4 linked regions of the Mus musculus genome follow. The protein of the gene in region 1 interacts with the protein of each later gene in a pairwise test. Links are inferred from orthologs where the notes say so. Each region holds a gene or a part of one and is shown in the gene's direction. Other genes may lie near its edges.

The links.
Region 2: the proteins of Tnpo2 (region 1) and Camk2d interact in binary tests that used the Homo sapiens proteins (3 or more experiments, as listed by UniProt). The two-hybrid records come from large-scale screens. The link is inferred for Mus musculus from reciprocal best matches to the Homo sapiens genes TNPO2 and CAMK2D.
Region 3: the proteins of Tnpo2 (region 1) and Exoc5 interact in binary tests that used the Homo sapiens proteins (3 or more experiments, as listed by UniProt). The two-hybrid records come from large-scale screens. The link is inferred for Mus musculus from reciprocal best matches to the Homo sapiens genes TNPO2 and EXOC5.
Region 4: the proteins of Tnpo2 (region 1) and Apip interact in binary tests that used the Homo sapiens proteins (3 or more experiments, as listed by UniProt). The two-hybrid records come from large-scale screens. The link is inferred for Mus musculus from reciprocal best matches to the Homo sapiens genes TNPO2 and APIP.

The regions. Positions count from the first base shown.
Region 1 is NC_000074.6:85,042,916-85,047,409, forward strand, and holds part of Tnpo2 (transportin-2), read left to right. Parts: intron 1-1,496; coding exon 1,497-1,603; intron 1,604-1,686; coding exon 1,687-1,820; intron 1,821-1,910; coding exon 1,911-1,992; intron 1,993-2,067; coding exon 2,068-2,190; intron 2,191-2,282; coding exon 2,283-2,401; intron 2,402-4,205; coding exon 4,206-4,266; intron 4,267-4,374; coding exon 4,375-4,494. UniProt on the Homo sapiens protein: Probably functions in nuclear protein import as nuclear transport receptor. Serves as receptor for nuclear localization signals (NLS) in cargo substrates.
Region 2 is NC_000069.6:126,595,000-126,600,286, forward strand, and holds the start of Camk2d (calcium/calmodulin-dependent protein kinase type II subunit delta), read left to right. Parts: upstream 1-1,951; 5' UTR 1,952-2,440; coding exon 2,441-2,505; intron 2,506-4,066; coding exon 4,067-4,161; intron 4,162-5,287. UniProt on the Homo sapiens protein: Calcium/calmodulin-dependent protein kinase involved in the regulation of Ca(2+) homeostatis and excitation-contraction coupling (ECC) in heart by targeting ion channels, transporters and accessory proteins involved in Ca(2+) influx into the myocyte, Ca(2+) release from the sarcoplasmic reticulum (SR), SR Ca(2+) uptake and Na(+) and K(+) channel transport.
Region 3 is NC_000080.6:49,014,157-49,018,650, reverse strand, and holds part of Exoc5 (exocyst complex component 5), read left to right. Parts: intron 1-1,090; coding exon 1,091-1,177; intron 1,178-2,344; coding exon 2,345-2,453; intron 2,454-3,018; coding exon 3,019-3,234; intron 3,235-4,301; coding exon 4,302-4,490; 3' UTR 4,491-4,494. UniProt on the Homo sapiens protein: Component of the exocyst complex involved in the docking of exocytic vesicles with fusion sites on the plasma membrane.
Region 4 is NC_000068.7:103,079,855-103,084,348, forward strand, and holds part of Apip (methylthioribulose-1-phosphate dehydratase), read left to right. Parts: intron 1-3,100; coding exon 3,101-3,201; intron 3,202-4,494. UniProt on the Homo sapiens protein: Catalyzes the dehydration of methylthioribulose-1-phosphate (MTRu-1-P) into 2,3-diketo-5-methylthiopentyl-1-phosphate (DK-MTP-1-P).

The DNA.
Region 1 (4,494 bases):
CAGCCCTCCAAGGACTAGCTTACAAATCTCCTGATCAAAGCTGATGTTCTTTGTTTCTGTAGAAAGCTGAGCCATGTGGTGTAGGAGGTTTTGTGAGATGGTCAGCACAGAGCATGGGGCCTGTCTCAGAATGGGATGGCATCATCCTCATAGTCTCGCCAGTCATTTCAGAAAGGCTTCACTTTCGGGGGTTGGCATCACCTGAGAGTTGTCAGTGGCAGCTTCTGCCCTCCCTGCCATCCTTTATTAATGAGTGGTGTGTGCATTGGCCACAATGTCGAGTTCTGCCGGGTGGCTCCATTGCCCTCAGGCCTCAGATGAAGATACTGTGGATTTCATTATTCCAAACCAATTTATTGTAATGTGAGCATTAGTTCCAATGTCCATATACTTGCTTACTTAAGCAAACATTCCCTGATGTTCTGCATATGAGCTTGCACATACTCACATTCATGTAGTAGACAGGTGTGCACACCCATATACATAGACATGGGCCAACAGAGGATATCAGATACTCTGTTCTTTTACTCAAAGGATCTGGAGCTAGGCTGGTAGCCAGCAAGTCCTGAGATCTCAACTGATTACTGTCATTACAGGTGTACCACTACACCTGTCTTTTTATGTATGTACTGGGAACTGAACTCAGGTCTTCATACTGGTCGAGCAAAGCACTCTTACCAACTGAGCCATCTCCCTAGGCCCCACCCTCATATCTCTAATTGTCAGTAGCATCCCCTCTCCCGATACAGAGGCTTTCAGGACTTGGTTATTTGATCCCCATCACCGTCCTTCTCACTGCCTGCTTCCCCACTCTGGCCTTTCTTCTGTTACTACACCAGGACTGCAATACCTCTAGCCAAGAATCTTTGCTCCAGGTAACTGGAGGCCACGCCCTGTTTAGCTGGTCCAAGTGGCTGTGATCCCAGCTACTTAGGAACCTGAGACAAGATCTGCATGTTCAGGTCTTGCCTTGGGGCCTTAACTCAAAAGGTTAGGAAAGCAACAACAACAACAAAATAGGGCCGGGGATTTAGTTCAACAGGAGAATGCTTGCCCACCGCGCATAGGGCCCTGAGTTCAGTCTTTTGTACTATGAAATAAAAGTACTTGAAAGACAATTTACTCTCCTGAGGGCTTGCCTTGTGGCTACCCACATCTTGAGCTTATGCATCTTCACTTCATACCCCTCTCCACTTGTAAAAGCAGTGATTTGGGGCGGATTCCTATAACCTGGAACAGTTGTCTCGTAGTGAGGCTATGTGCAGAATAGGCAAGGACGACTTGAAGAGGGCCTGTCACTCTACAATGGAGTGCGTACTTGGCATTCATGAGGCCTGGGTTTTGTCCCCAGCACCCCAAAGAGAGGCTCAGGGTGCCATGCAGAACATGCATGGGAGAGGAAAGAAAGCTGGTGAGCCAGTCCCTTGGTGGGGATGGTTGAGGGACCAGTAGACCCTTGCTCAGCCTGACTGGCCTCCTCTCCCTGGCTGCCCCAGGCATTCTCATCACCACCATCGCTTCCAAGGGTGAGCTGCAGATGTGGCCAGAGCTGCTGCCTCAGCTGTGCAACCTGCTCAACTCAGAGGATTATAATACCTGTGAGGTAGGTGATGGGCAGTACCTGGCCTGACCCAAGCAGGGACTACAGCTTAGAGTCGGCTCACAGCCATCCATCTCTCTGCTTAGGGAGCCTTTGGAGCCCTACAGAAGATCTGTGAAGACTCCTCGGAGCTTTTGGATAGTGATGCTCTCAACAGGCCCCTCAACATCATGATCCCTAAATTCCTGCAGTTTTTCAAGCACTGCAGCCCTAAGATCCGGTACGTGATGTTCCTCAGAGCAGAATGGTCTTAGAGTTGGTAGGCAGACGCAGGAGTTCATATGTGAGCCTTGCCTTCACTGCCTACTAGGTCCCACGCCATCGCCTGTGTGAACCAGTTCATCATGGACCGGGCCCAAGCGCTGATGGACAACATTGACACTTTCATTGAGGTGGGTCACCAGGCTCCAGGTGGATAGGGTGAGGCTAAGGGGTCCTCAGGCAGCTGACCTTTCCCTTTTACACAGCACCTGTTTGCCTTGGCTGTGGATGATGACCCTGAGGTGAGAAAGAACGTGTGCCGGGCCCTTGTGATGCTTTTGGAAGTGCGAATTGACAGGCTCATCCCTCACATGCACAGCATCATCCAGGTGCGAATGCTCAATACCAAGGGCTAGTGGGTGGCTTGGGATGGGGAATCCCCCGCAGTTGAGCTAGGTCTCAGCCTCTCTCTGTTGCCCAGTACATGCTGCAGAGGACCCAGGACCATGATGAGAACGTGGCCCTGGAGGCCTGTGAGTTCTGGCTGACGCTAGCCGAGCAGCCCATCTGCAAGGAAGTCCTGGCCTCTCATCTGGTCCAGTGAGTACTCATACCCCATGCCCTCAGCCTCTAGTCCTCCCTGGACCTGTCCCTTCTCCTGGATGCTTTGCTTACTGTATCTTATGTGGTTTAAGTCAGTTTTCTTTGAATCCTGTGTACACTGATTTTTATGGGGTGTAACCTTAATGACTTTAAAAATTAGGTAACAGAAACCAAGTGTGGTGGCTCATGCATGTCACTTAGGAGGCTAAGCTTGGATTATAGCCACAAATGCTGTGTAACGAGTTCCAGGCCAGCCTGGGTTACATAATGAGACCCTGTCTCTAAGAACAGCTAGAAGACAAAAAGAGAAGAAACAACCCTTAAGCAGATGAAGGCTTCATCATGGCTGCTCGAGATGCTTAAGAGAATGGCATCTACGTTAATTCCAGGCACGGCCCTCCTGGATAAGCGATGCTGTAGCTCTGGCTTGCTTTTTTCTTTCTGATTTTGAGTCAGGGTTTCTCCATGTAGTATAGCCATGGCTGTCCTGGAACTCGCTCGGTAAACTAGGCTGGCTTAGAATTTAAAGGGATCCTGCCTCTGCCTCCGGAGTGCTGGGGTTAAAGGCTGTGCCTACGACTGTAGGCTCTGGTGTTCTTCAGTTTAGGAGTTCAGAGTCTCTTGGGTGGTACTTTAACAAGAGCTTACTTTTTGGGTTTTTGAGACAAGTGGGCCTAGAACTTAAGTGCTAGGGTTAGAGGCATGTGGCACCATGACTGGTTTGAGCCCCCTTGTGTTGACCATTTTGGATCACTTGGCTATCTCAGATTATTGATAGCAAGTAGGAGTTGTGGCTAGAGGGACAGAGGACTTTGAGGAGGATTGAGACTCTTGCAAACAGGGACAGGAAGGTTGTATCAGTTTTCTTTTTCTTTTTCTTTTTTTTTTTTCTTTTAAGATTTATTTATTATTCATTAGTACACTGTAGCTGTCTTCAGATGCATCAGAAGAGGGCATCAGGTCTCATTATGGGTGGTTGTGAGCCACCATGTGGTTGCTGGGATTTGAACTCAGGTTAAGTCAGTGCTCTTAACCGCTGAGCCATCTCGCCAGCTGTATCAGTTTTTGTGTTTAAAGCTGTGTGCAACCATGCTCTCTACTGTTTCTGCCAGCAGCCTGCCCGGCAGCTTTGTTTGCAGGGTCTGAACAATGGGTCAGATGTTTGTGTTTTGTGTAGTGCTAGGGAACAGCATTGCTGAAGGTCTTCAGGGTTCTGGCATTCATGTGTGCATTCATGTTTGGGTCAAGAGGCTGTGTGGTGCTACTTGTCGCTGAGTGATAGATGGGGCAGCTGGATGTGGCAGTAAACACTTGTAATCACAGTATTGGAGGTTGAGGCAAAAAGATCATGTTCTTTTTATTTTTTAAACATTTTTGTTATTATTTACTATTACTTTTAAATCAGTATTTTGCTTGCATGTATGTATGCCTGTACCACATGTGTGCAATGCCCACAGAGGCCAAAGGAAGGTATTGTGTTCCTTGGGGCTGGAGTTAGAGCAAGTCATGATCGTGACTGCTGAGCTATCTCTCCAGCCTCAAGAAGGTGTATGATTTCTAGGCCAGTCATGGCTTCACAGACCGTTTCAAAAGAGGGAGAAAACTGTGTCTCCTACTCATGGCTGAAAATATGTTGCTCATTCCCTGAAGGGAAGTGAACAGAAACAGGACAGAGGAATATGGGTGTGTTGAGCATAGTCTGCCACTTGCTCCGTACTCCTATTCACACCTCTGCTTTCTTTTCAAGATGGGTACCTAGCCAGAGTCCCTGCATCCTTACAACCAGTCTCTTTCCCAATAGGTTGATCCCTATCCTCGTGAATGGGATGAAGTACTCTGAAATTGACATCATCCTTCTTAAGGTCAGCCAAGGGGCATCCACAGCTGACTGTGGGTGGCCAAGACCATTGGGTATTGGGTTGGAGGTCTCCAGCCAGTGCTGAGAGAAATATGCCTGGGCTGGTCCCTAGGGGGATGTGGAGGAGGACGAGGCGGTACCTGACAGTGAGCAGGACATCAAGCCCCGGTTCCACAAGTCACGCACAGTGACATTGACTCACGAGGCTGAGCGGCCTGATAGCTCTGAGGAT
Region 2 (5,287 bases), on another chromosome or scaffold:
CTCATTTCAGTTTTGTTATTAAAAATGTTCAAATTTAGCCAGGCATGGTATTTCACACCTTTAGTCACAGGCTGGGGAGGCAGAGGCAGGTGGATCTCTCAGTTTGAGGCTCAGCCTGGTTTGCATAGTGAGTTCCATGCCATTTAAGAGAGACACACTGAGACTATTCCAATCAAATAAAAATGTTCAAATTTAAGGACATAAAAAACAAAATTTGCTTTTAAAAACAAAAAGGAATCAAAGCTATATAAAAACCACAGAGGAACTTCAATAAGCTTCCAAGGGTGTCCCACAATGACAACTGAACAGCAGAGGCCCCCAGGTAGGAACAATACAAGACAAAGCGGGACGTGTGCTGATCCCACGTGCTTGGCAACGTCAAAAATCAGCACTAGGAATCTAGTGCGTGGGCAGAATATCAAATGATGTAAGTAAAATTGAAGGGAAAATTATAGTAAAACAGGCCAGTAAATGACATTTTCATGGGCAAAACAATGCAGACATTGAATGATGACTAAATTCAAAAAGTATTTTCTTGTGTTGAGTGGGAGAGGGCTATTAGAAGTATGAGTAATATTTGCAAAATCTATAACAAAAAAAAGCATTTAAAAATTATATGGCCGTCTGAGTACTTCAGTTCAAAGGCCACTCAGCATTCTTTAGAACAGGGAATAAAAGAACCTGCAAAGTAGTAACTTATAGCCGCCCTAAAAGCATGTACAGGCTCCCTAACTGAAAGTTATCTATCATCTTCCCACTGTGAAATTTTAAGTGCACGATGTGATTCTAAGCACGAGCACATAAGCAATAGAAATGCAGGATTTTATGGTTTCCTGCTGTAGAACAAAAAGCAACAGTCTGAAGAAAATTTTTTAAAAGTTCATGATGCGTCTCTATTTTCCGTAGGCCTCTAAATCTGCAATTGCCTCGTTTATTAAAGACTCAGAAGTGAAAAGAAGGCTCAGAAATGATCTTAGCCACCACTTACACCTTAACCCATCTTACATGCTAATTTTTTTTCTCCATGCTAATTTTTAAGCAACAGTGTCAGATATGCTTAACTGTACACACGTTCTTGAACTCTTAAATGGTTTTCCAGATAGCCACTGAGGGAGTACACTCCTGTGCCCCTACTTGGCCTGCTCTTTGAGAATGCAGGTAAAGAACTCCCACCCTCCCTCTCCCTTCTCCCTCGGCAACGCGAAACAGGCTAGGCACGCTCACGTGACGCTAATGACGTCAGCCCCCTCTGGGTCGCGTGACCCACAGCCAACCTTCCTACCGCCCCACCCCCTCGCCACTGGCGTGGGACATCTCGCGAGAAGCCTTCTTACTATCAGAACTTGCTGAGGTTACAGGGGAGTTACTCTGGAGAGGAAGGAAGGTGTGGCAGAGTGGTGCACTTTTGGGTTTCATTATGTTAGAGTTTATGATCAAGCAAATGCTTATGGGGATCGCCCTAGTCGGGAAAAGGGGAGAGAAGGGCGAAGACGTGACAGTAAAAACTGAAGCGAAACGTGGTGCCCTGACCATCTTTGCCCCTAGCTAAGGGACAGCCGGGCGCAGCAGAGGTGGCCAAGGCTGGCAGCCCCAGGCAGTAGCTGCGAGCCGGGGGACGTTGGACCCGGGTCTGGGAGCAGTAAACGCGAACCGCGCCCAGATGCAAGGGTTGCTTCCCTCTCTCGGCTTCCCCGGCCTCGCGGCCATCCCGCCCGGGTAGAGGCATCCGGGTTGTGGGAGCTTCGAGTGGTCTCTCATCTTTCCGCCCTTCGTGGGTCACTGCGACATCTCAGTCCCGTCCCCTTAAGCGCGCTCCCTGCTGCTCCGCGCATCTCCCTTCGGTCTCCCTAGACGGCTGCGGGAGAGCAGCCCGAAGGGACGCGGCTGGAGTCGCTAGAGGGAGGTGTGGGGCCGCCGAGGAGGGGGCTTCGCTGGGCGGGGAGAGGAGGGAGGAGGCGCCGGGGAGGAGCCGCGGCTGCCAGCTTCGCCCGAGCCGAGCGAGCGCACTCTGTCGCCCCGCGGGTTCCCAGCCTTGCGGCCCCGTGGAGAGGAGGGAGCGCGGGCCACCAGCGCCTCCTCTGCCCGCTGGAACGACCGGCTGGGTGTTCACTCGGCCGCTGCCGCCCGCCACTCCGGGCGCTGCGTTGAGCTCTCCGTGCGGCCTCGGTGACCGCGGCAACCCCTCCTGACACCTCTCCCCCGCCCCTTCGGGAGCCCTCGGCCCGGCCACCGCGGCGGGAGGAGGAGAGGACAAGGGATCGCGGAGCGGGCTGGTCTGGCCACCTCGCCCCGCGCGCCCCGCCCCTGCGCGCACTCCCTCGCCGGCGAGCTACTTTCGGACACGGAAAGTGAGGGCGGCCCCGGGTGACAGCGCGGCGGCGCCAGTCCCGGGAAGCCAGGTCTGTTCGCGTGTCGCCCGTCGCACTGTCCAGACCCCGCCATGGCTTCGACCACCACCTGCACCCGGTTCACCGACGAGTATCAGCTCTTTGAGGAGCTCGGAAAGTAAGCGTCCCTGCCTGGCATCTCCTCCTCCCCACGACCCCTCGTCTCCCTCGTGGGGATAGAGAGCCTGCGGGCCGAGGCGGGGAGACGGACCCTGGCTTGGTGCGGGTGGGGCACACAGGGAAGGAAACCTTTGCCCTACTGTGGCGGGTGCTCCGAATTCCCAGCCCATCTTCTCGGGTCCTCCACCTCTCCACGGGGGACTTAGTGAATTTATGATCTCTGCAGTTGTAGCTGTCATCCTGAGAAGTGTGCGCGCACGCGAGTGCGAATGTGTGTGTATGTGTGTTCGGAGAGGAAAGGAGATGCATGTAAAATGCAACATTTATCACATTTTTGGTAAATAGATGTCTCTTGCTCAGCCCGCGCTGTATCTGCGATCTGACCCAGGTTCGGATGAGCTAACGAGAGAACACTCGCTCTCTGAGATGGTGCCATATTTATCGATGCCGAAAGTTCAACTTGGCTTGGTGGAGAGTCTGGTTCGGCATCCAAGTAGTTGTTCCGTTCAGGAAAAGGGCCACCCAACAGAACCCACGTCCCTGCCATGTATCCGCTATCCTTCTTTGCACTAAGATGAGTCGCTCACCATCATTCTAGGATTTAGGTGTACATCGTCTCTGAGAGGATTTATTTATCCAGGCAGAGGAAAGCCCTAGAGCCCGAGAGAGCGTTTCCCCAGGGTAGCCTAGCTTGTGTAAAACGACCTCCTCCACTGAAGTGGCAGGACTTCCTTGAGATGTTAAGGAGGGACAGGGTACCTACTGAAGATCTGCACAGGGGCAACTAGAGACTCAGTCAGGAGGGAGTGTTGGTTTACCGAGCATCAAACCCCAAACCTATCGCTAATTTCCACTATCAGGGAAGGGATGCATTTGTGTGTGTGTGTGTGTGTGTGCTGTAGGTTTCCTTACAGTTGCATAAAAGGAAGTGTGAGCACTTTTAAATCAAATGAAAATGATATCTTTATAGATGATCTGCTGTTGAAACATGGAGTATGTCGGAAGAGCAGCTTAATTTAAATCTCTCCCCTCCCCCCAAGCCCAAACCAGGCAGAGAGAAATCACCTTACCCCAGAACCTGTTAAAGCACACCAGTGAGCTCGAGATTTATGTTTTAATGAAAACAATCGCCATATTTACTTAGTTGGAACCACGTTAATTATGTTTCCTACCGAAATAAACAGTTTTTTTTTTTTTTTCTTCTGTTCCCCAGCTCGGTCCTTTGCAGGGTTTGCTATGAGCATTTGGTGTTTTGTGAGTGTGAATTACAAATTGTTTTCAAATTTCATGTGCAAAAAAGAGTGGTCATAATTGGCATTACCTTCTATTTTGTTGATTAATAATCTGCGTGTTTCCAGTCAATTAAAAACGACTTTCATTCCACAACATTAAAAAAGATCTGGGCTGGCAGGAAAGAATTGTTTATTTTCTAGATAATGCTTTTATTATGTTGCTATTTGACAGACCACTAAAGGTTCATGAAACCGCTCAGATTTGTGAGTTTGCAAGTGGATACTAGATCTGATTATACTGACGACTTGCTAATTATTGGTTTCCAGGGGGGCGTTCTCAGTGGTGAGAAGATGTATGAAAATCCCTACTGGACAAGAGTATGCTGCCAAAATTATCAACACCAAAAAGCTTTCTGCTAGGGGTGGGTATTTTAAACCACATTTATTTATATATGTTAATGTTGTATTTGTTGTGTGAATGGTTGGTGTCTTCTAAGTAGTTATAGCATGTAGTTATAATTGAATTTTGGACTTAGGTATCATATTACATATTACCATTTTTCCTTGCCAAAAGCCTCTTGCTTTGTTTCCTTTGAAAAGTAGGTGAAAAATATAATTGTTATCAGCGAGTTATTAAAATGCTGTCTCCTAAGCAATGGTATAGATAAATATGTTGCAAAGCAAATAAATGTCATGAGGGGCCTTGCTGAAATCTGTTCAGAAGGATCTTGAAATGGAAAAAATGCAAGTCTCATAACTGTCATAATTCCCCTTTCACTTCTGAGACAAAAAAAAAAAATGGGTCATGGTTCAGTTGAATGTATGTTACAGTTGTAGTTACAGCTGAACTTAATACAGCGAGGTATATTTAACTTCAGTGGTTTGGGGAAGTAGGAAGAGATTTTTACTGTAATCTAGGAAGTTAGCTTGGCTTTGATATGTGTAGGCTAGGCCTTTTCTGGGTTTTCTGCATGAAACTTTCCATCAGATCATGCAATATATTTTACACCTTTAGCTTATAGCCACAAAGATACTTCATCCTGAGAGCTCTTGACATAAGTTTAAAAAAAAATAAACAAAAAACAAAAACAACTGGGAGCAGTGTGCCCACATGATGATGATGGTGATGATGGTGATGATGGTGATGGTGATGATGGTGATTAGAATCAAACAAAAGTCCATATACTGAAATGCCGGAGTTACAGTGACTAAGGTGCCTACGGATTTCCAAGGGAATTCATGGTGTGATGAAATGAAGCTGGAATCAAAAAGAACAGAATCCCATAATGCAGCCCCATCTCAGTGACCTGGTTTATTTTAAGTAATGAGAGGAAATTCCATTAGACTTAGTTTTCCTCACTGAATACATCTTTTAAGACATGCCACTTAAAGACGTCTGGGTATCGTTCGTTGCCTTTGTCCTCGGCTCTGACAAATGGATTTTCGGATTCTCCTTTTACGATATACTTTAGGTTTCAGTCTATGTATTCACTCGGATGGAATTCCACGATACTTCCCGTCATCTGATTTGCTCTTGTTCTGAGAAAG
Region 3 (4,494 bases), on another chromosome or scaffold:
AAGTCTGAGACAGTCACGTCATAAGCTAGTTAGTTCTTTCCTCCCTCTTCTCTTATAAGGGCTGAGGCTAGGAGAGGTATGTAGGATTTTCAGGGAAGAAAGGGAATTGACAAATATTGTAATTATGTTATAATACATATATGCACATGAACACCAGTAGACATGATACACTTGTAAAGATTACAGGAAACAGGAATGAACATATTTTGATAAAGCACTAGGATTTGGATCATATTTCATATCAATTTATATGGACTTTTAAGGCATTTGAAAATTAGAATTATATACATATGAACATATTTCACGAAGTTGTTTTCTTAGCACTGTTATCTATGCAAGAAATGTTGAGATAAATGAGTTTGATAGACTTTATAAACAGTATTATGCCATGTCTAGACCAGAAACAAGTTCAAAGATCATTTGTGATTCCCAAATCAGACTTTGAAAGGAAGTTTACTGTTTTTCTGTGTAACTCAGGTGGGTATTACAGACATGAGCCACCAAGCCTAGCTAGTTCTTATTAATTTACTTTTTAAAAGAACTATTATGCCGCATAACATAGAGTCATAGGAGTTTTAGTGTTGTTTATTCTTTAATATTTTGAGGCTTTTGGACATTTTAATAGTATTTGGAAGGTTTTGTGTGTTTTATTTTAAAAAGTTAAATGTAACTGAATTTACTTTCTACTGTCCATATTATTAGTTGGATTTATTATATTTGTAAGAGTCTGGTGATACCCGTGACTTTTATTACTATTCTATCAGATATTTAGATACACAGGAAACTAGTTTCAAATTCAAAGCTGCATGATTATGTCAAGTGCTATTTCCTTAGAGATCAGAATAATATGTCTGTCTTTTCTTGGTTTTTAATGGGTTAATTTTTCTAGTTTGAATGAATAGAATATATTAATATATATAATTGCAAGCAATGATTTATTTTGTAATTATTGGATTTATGAGCAAATGAAAATAACAGGTGTTAGTATTATTTACAAATATGAATACACAATATATAAATTATAAACTTGTCAAATGGGCTACTAATGGGAGGGTTTGTTTGTTTTTTCCCCCTTTGTAATAAACAATAGCTCTTCTCCTAAGTTATCTGAATGCCTCCAGAAGAAAAAAGAGATAATTGAGCAGATGGAGATGAAATTGGATACTGGCATTGATAGGTAAGTTAACTGTTTTTTATCTCCTGCTTTTTTAAAACTTGTAGAATCACATTTGCATAGCAGCATGAACAGAGTTTTTAGAGTTGATTCTTTAATGTACTGTTCTCATCTATAAGAGAATTTTCCCCCCCTGGAAATCAGTATGTTTAAATATATTTCAAATCAAATTCATATTTTAAGCCCCACTCATTTGCATCAAACATGTACAGGCTACAAATTCCTTTAAAAACAGAGATGCCAAGCTGGGGATATAGACCAGGGGTAGAGTATTGCTAGCATGTGGGAAGCCCTGCACTTATCAGTGCTGCTGAACCAACAAAGACTTGTAGTATTTAGGACTATATTTCCACTTAGTGGCTTCAGCCTTATCTATGAAGTTTTGTAGTAATTGTACTGATTTTGTAAATGTAACTTATGTTAAATGAATTTTAAAACTTTGACTGAAGATAATTACTTTCCAGGTTTCTGTTTTGAGAATATGATGTTCTTACACTGATTGAAAAGTAGTAGAGCTCACAGATGTGAAGGATTCACTACATCCCACCATCTTATGTTGGCCTACTGTCATTTTGTAACTTGACCTCATTATTGTTGTGCTTAATTATGTGATCCGTCTCTTTAATTTAACATGAAACTTATCTTTTGACTACTCTGTCTTGCAGCCCCTTAACTCTAAATTAGTGTAGTCTTTTTATTTGCATAAGCTGAGTGATTGCTCACTATTGAGGAATCACATAGGTTAGATATTATTGGTACTTTTTAACCAGTGCCTTTATTGTCAGCTAGAATCTCAGTACTGTCTTCCTGATTGCCTGTTGACTGTGGGATTGAATGTGCCAGCTTCCACAGCCGTTCTCTTTGAGCCGTTTATCCTTCCACTTTCCTAAGTATTCCCTATGCACGGGTTTGCCTGAGAAGATCCTTAGATGTGAAGGAAATGATTAGTGCTAGGTTATAAGATCTTTTCTAAGGAGAAAGATGATAAAACCAGAATATCAAGTTGATATCAAGTCACAGAATGACCTTTTCCCCCCAAAATCTAGTTTGTCAATTCCAAAGTGGTTTTGTGATGATAGGCAATTAAATAATTTAACTTAATTCCGTATAATCCGTAGGTAAAATTGAGCGAGTTAAGTGAGTCATATATGTTGTGTTCTCAATCTTTAGGACATTAAATTGTATGATTGGACAGATGAAGCATATCTTGGCTGCAGAACAAAAGAAAACAGATTTTAAGCCAGAAGATGAGAACAATGTTTTGATTCAGTATACTAATGTGAGTGGAACTAATATATTATCTTCTTTCTTCATTCTTGTACACGCATTAGTGCACCTGTTGTGCTGTTTTTAAAAACAAAATACCTAATGTTCAGTTTTACCAAATGAAGACCCTGCTAGCTCAGAGAAGCACAGGAAGCACCCAGCTGCCCTCCATCCTCAGCTGCAAAAGCCCTCATTCTCCACTGTCTAAACACCGTTCCTGCTTCCTTGTGTTCACTCCCTATCAAGTGGTTGGTGCTCCACCTCTCGACCTATTGTTGACTTTATTTATTTAGCTCTTATTTACAAAGAATTCTTAGAGTTAAGGTGATTGCTGGGAATGAGCTACACCACAACTACTTGTTTAATAGTAAACAGAAAGCCCTTGGGTTAAAGGTGTGTGCTAGGGCTGAGCCACACCACGATATGAAACAGATTTTTCCAGTTCACGGTCTTAGGGTTCACAGTGTGATCAAATATCCTTCAACATAGTTGTGCTTTAAGTGTTGTTTTTCTTATACTTAGAAGTTGGAAAACTGTATTTACATATCTGTGTAATAACTGTAGAAAAACTTTTACAGGCATGTGTAAAAGTTTGTGTTTATGTAAGAAAACAAGTTGAGAAGATTAAAAATTCCATGGATGGGAAGAATGTGGACACAGTTCTGATGGAACTTGGAGTACGTTTTCATCGGCTTATTTATGAACATCTTCAACAATATTCCTATAGTTGTATGGGTGGCATGCTTGCAATTTGCGACGTGGCTGAGTATAGAAAATGTGCCAAAGACTTCAAGGTACATATAAACAAATTAGTTACGCTTGCAAGTAAGCTCAGAAACAGAAGCTGTACCATTAAAAGCCTGTACTGGAAATGTGTGATTTCGCTGGCAGCATTAAGAGACAGCTTTAATATAGTCTACCAGTTACATCTCAATATGAACATTTTTCCAGTTGGGACTTCATTTTAGATAAGGTCATATTTCAGCACATTCCATCGAGATAGTCCTTTTAACATCCATGATGGATGATGTTTATGTCACACATTAGGAAAATGATACTCCTTTTTCATGTATGTTTATCGAAAATCAGTTTTCCCTAATGATTAAATTATTATTATTTATTTATTTAGGTTTTTCAAGACAGGGTTTCTCTGTGTAGCTCTGGCTGTCCTGGAACTCATTCTGTAGACCAGGCTGGCCTTGAACTCAGAAATCTGCCTGCCTCTGCCTCCCGAGTGCTAGAATTAAAGGTGTGCGCCACCACGCCCAGCTTGTTTAAATTATTTTTAAAGGTGTTATACTAAAGATAATTAGTTCTAGTGTACCAAGTTACAAATTATTGAAAAACTGAGTAATATGAATCTTTTGTTTAAAGATTTATTTATTTTATGTATATGAGTACACTGTAGCTGTACAGATGTTTCTGAGCCATCATGTGGTTGCTGGGAATTGAACTCGCTTCAGCCCCGCTTTCTCCGGCCCAAAGATTTATTTACTTATTATGTGTAAGTACACGGTAGCTGTCTTCAGACACCAGAAGAGGGTGTCAGATCTCATTACGGATGGTTGTGAGCCACCATGTGGTTGCTGGGAATTGAACTCAGGACCTTCAGAAGAGCAGTCATTGCTCTTAATCACTGAGCCATCTCTCTCTAGCCCAATATGAATCTTTTTAATGGTTAAAACTTTTAGCTATGGAAACCTTTGAGTTTTAGCTCTTCAGAAGCTTTAAGAAATTCTAACATAGGAGGCAACTTCCCCATGTTATTAAGTTCTGACTAGCAAGATGTGAGAAGACTTTGCAGAGCGCATAGGAAAATAAACTGCTGTGGTTCAGTGCTTCCTTCCCTCTCTCCATTCAGATTCCAATGGTATTACATCTTTTTGATACTCTGCATGCACTTTGCAATCTCCTGGTCGTGGCTCCAGATAATTTAAAACAAGTCTGCTCGGGAGAACAACTTGCCAATCTGGACAAGAACATACTCCACTCCTTTGTACAACTTCGTGCTGACTATAGATCTGCCCGCCTGGCGCGACACTTCAGCTGAGCTG
Region 4 (4,494 bases), on another chromosome or scaffold:
TTCACACTTTCATGTCTAATATATTCTGAATGTCACTGCGTCTGTTTCTGCCATACCATAGCGTCTCTTCTATTCATTGTGATTCTTTAGCTTCATGCTATATAGGTGTTACGCTCACTGAGAGCCAACTCTAACAACAGCTGAAAGGCACCATTGGCATCCAGGGGTGCAATAGACAGTAAGCTCTCCCTTTCTGTCCGTTCCAAAGGTAACATTTCCACGTTCACACTCTTGGGCCGCACAGGTTAAATGGCTGCACCTGAAAGTCAGCAGATGTGTGGCTGCCAGGGCTCCGTTACTTCCCTGTAATGGTATCTTCCTGATCTGAGTGGCTGAGGAGGACAATAGCAGCACTGCCCGCCATTGGTGTGCTGTAGCAGGGAGCTGGCTAATGGCTCTAATACCTCAATACTGGGGAAAGACAAAAGGAGAGGGGGATCTATAATAATAGACCATTTTCGGTAATGTTTGCAATTTGTTGCGCAAATTTGGTCTTAATGATTGGAACACTGCAGGAGTCTCCCCATTAGTTGTATTTAATATGTAATTAAAATATCATTTATGTTCCCCAAAAAGGAAATAGCAAATTATATGGGGCATAGAATTTTTTTGGCTAGATTCCTTGAGAAGAGTAAAGAAATCCATTTTATTATTAACTTTTAAGTAATTAATTTGTGTTCAAGAACTTTAACTCTTTAAAGTGTAAGGAAGTTCATATTATGTCACATGGTTTTCTGTGGAGTGCTTTTACTGTAGAGACTTTTAAATTTTATTTTTAAATATGTATATATGTGCTCAACTTTGTGTGATATATGCACATGAGTGTAAATGCCCAAGGACTCCCCGGCAGAGATGTTGGCTCCTCTGGAGCTGGAGTAACATTGATTGTGAGCTGACTGACATGGGTGCTAGGAACTGAACTCCAAGCTTCTGCAAGACAGTACGGACCTTAACCTCTGAACCATCTCTCCAGCCCCAACTTTTATGTTATATTGTGTGTGTATCTCTCTGTGTCTCTGTGTGTGTTTGTGTGTGTGTGTGTGTGTGTGTGTGTGTGTGTGTGTGTTGGTAGATAGATATGTGCACATGCAGGTGCCTAAGAAGACCAGAGGCTTCAGTTCAGCCTGGAGATGGAGCTATAGATAGTGAATCACTTGATGTGAGTGGTGGGAACTGAACTCTGGTTCTCCCGAGAACAGGACATGCTCTTAGCTGCCGAGCCATCTCTTTAGCTTTGTGCTGTGTGTTTTATCTTCATTTCATCTCACTTTATTCCTCAAAGTGTGCTTATTTCATGGTTGAGTAAAAGTGGGGCTCAGTGTCTTAGTTAAGATTTCTGTTGCTGTGATAGAACACTGAGCAAAGCACCACGGGGAGGAAAGGGTTAATTTCAGCCTACAACTTATAGTCCATCATCCAGAGAAGTCAGGGCGGGAGTACAAGGCAAGAAGCCAGCTGGAGGCAGGATCTGAAGCAGAGGCTATGGGGGAGTGCTGCTTACTGCTTTTCTCCTTGTGGCTTATATAACCCAGAACCGCCAGCCCAGGGCCAGCACCGCCCAAGGTGAGCTGGGCCCACATCAATCATCAATCAAGAAAATGCACCACAGGCGTGATTATTCACAGGCGACAGGTGGGGTCAATTTCTCATTTGAGGTTCCCTCTTCCAAGATGACTCTAGCCTGTGTCAAGTTGATGTAAAACTAGCCAGCACACTCAGCATCGTGTAAATGGTGAATTAGATATTGTGTAGTTTGACCTTCTTTGCTAACTCCTAAACCTGTGCTGATTTTTACAAAAGCCTGACTTTTTCTCATACTCTGAATTTTTTATTTTGAAGGCTACTTCATCAAATTATCATTCATACCACCAAAAGTATTTATCTATATGCATGCATGCATACATACATACATGCATACTCAAACACAGAGGAAAGAAGAGAGAGGATGGGAGAGAGAGAGAGAGAGAGAGAGAGAGAATAAACCAGAGAATGACAAGTAAATAAATATTGGGAAACACAATTTTAGCTGCCCAGTCTGTTGAAATAATGGTTTTCCTCTGGACTCGGGAATGGTTTTCCCCTTTACCCAGGGCCGCCGTCCATAGTCAGTTATTTCCTGTGCTTTTCTCCGTAGCAAGGGTTTCTTGTTTGCTGAGACTGCAGCCCACCGAGTCTTGAGTTTATTTGGAGGTTTTCTGTGTGGTACAAGTCTGGAGTTTATCTCAGAGTTCTGATGCTGGTCCAGCTATCAGAGTGAAGCCCAGAGAGCCCAGAACTTTTTGCAGGTGGCTTGAAGTGAACGTCAGCTTTGGAGTGCCCTGCCCCCAAGACATTTCCCTGAGGAGTCCTGCGAAGTTCACTTTCCACTTCTGCCACCTCTTTTGAAATATTTGTGAACATGACTGACTAGGCAGTTATTATCTGCTTTCCAGCTAAGGCTACATATCGTACTGCCAAAATGGAGCTCGTTGTTCTTCTCTGCTTGCTTTAGATAGTTTAAACTGTTAAGAGAAAAGCAGGGAAAACTGGGAGTTATTGCAGCTAAACATAAGTAAGGGTTGATGTTCCTTCTGGCCTTTATTCACACGGTTCCGTAAAATGCCTTCGTAGAAAAGGATCATAAGTGCTTCTGAGTAGGATTTGTTTATTGATTGTTATTTGCTTGACTTTAATGGTTTGTCATAGTCACTATTATAATTGAATAAGAAGATATTTAAATCACTTTGGAAAACAACATTTTAAAGATAAAATTGAAACTGCCCCAACACAGACTGTGTTGAACATGTATTGATAGTGAAGTGTCATGTATGGTGTTCTAGCAGGGTGTTCTGTGAAGCACTTAGCTGTGTAGCCCAAAGTGTGGGGTTTGTTTGTTTGTTTGTTTTTAGTACTGGGTTCCACTGCCTTTCTGTTGACGCTGTGTCATAGACCCCTGGCATTTCCCTGCCTTGTTTTTACAGCCAGTTCCATAGAGTTGGGACCCCTGTACTGACCAATCCCAGACTGCCAATTAAGTAAATCCATTTCTAACGATTAAGGAAGTGCCAGCTGGAGTGCACAACTTTAAGAGTCATTTGCAAATCATCATCTTCTCTTTCAGGACAAGGAGCACCCCCGATTCCTGATCCCAGAACTTTGCAAACAGTTTTACCATCTGGGCTGGGTCACCGGCACTGGAGGGGGAATCAGCTTGAAGCATGGGTAAGTTCCTGGCTGATCGCAGCTGTGGGAGTTCTTATTTTAGCAGGCCTCAGGGCTGTGTCCAGACCCAGCTGATAGTCAGTTTAGTGCGGGACTGAAGCCGGATACTTTCTAAATGATCGGTGGATGTCTGCATAGCCTGGTGGAGCCAAGGAGCAGAAGCAACAAGCACAATAAATTCCCAGTTGTTAACTGGGATAATTTGGTCCTCTCTGGAACATCACAGGTAAGAAAAGTAGTTGAAGACTTATTTCAAAAGTTCAAAGAAATATTTAAAAGTCACTTAAATAGAAATTATTAATCATTAAATTCTAATTAAGTTCAAAAATCCATATTTACTAAGTTCAAAACAGGCCATGTGCTGTTTTTGAGCAGAGATATCATGATTAACAGGCCCAGCAATGCTACTATCTACTCCTTTGAGGCACTGGGTTTAAAACAGAAGGACTCATTTTCTGTTGCTCACTGAGTTCAGTGAGTGTCTTGTGGTCAAGCAGATGAGGAGTAAGCTGGAGGAAGCAAGCCTCCTTCTCCCAGGGCTTGCTGAAGTGGGTTGATGTCTTCCCCCTGAAATGTAGGAGTCCTGTTGCTGGAGGCGGGGTTTTATTCTGTATTCTAATTCACCTTTTTTCTTTAGCAAAGTTGGATCACTAAAATATTTATATGCTGAGTGTATGTGTACATGGTATGCATGTGTATACATGTACATATATGTATGTGTATGTATCCGTCAAGGAATCTGCATTTTATAATAGGAAATAGGTTGTAAAATAAAATCAGAACATCTTAAACAAAAGGAATTTTACTCCTTCCCACAAAATAATGACTTTGGAATTTCATCTGCTCCAAATTACAGTGTCCTTCATGAAATATTAATTCAACAGTGGGAAATAGCAAAATGTGACTTAGTCAACAGCTTAGACAGCTGTGGATATAAGAATTCTCTCAGTACAGATAAAGCGTCTTCCCTGATCGCCTGCACGGCCATGTTGCCCTGTGCCTAAGCTCTCAGGTTTCCTTATGCACAATATACCTGAAACTATGAATAATTCATTCCTATCTAAGAAGTCAAGTGCCTGTCTGTAATTTAATTTCCCTGATGTATGATTTATTTCTAAAGGCTGCTTTTTATGCTCTCTCTCTCTCTACTGGTGCAGAAAATGGCTTTGTATATAACAGAGCTCCTACCAAACTGAGCTAAAATACTTGTTTCTGGCTTTTTAAAAATATATACAGCAAAGTTAAAAAGAATAGAATGCAAACTCAAGAGAAGTTTTTTTTTTAAGATTTATT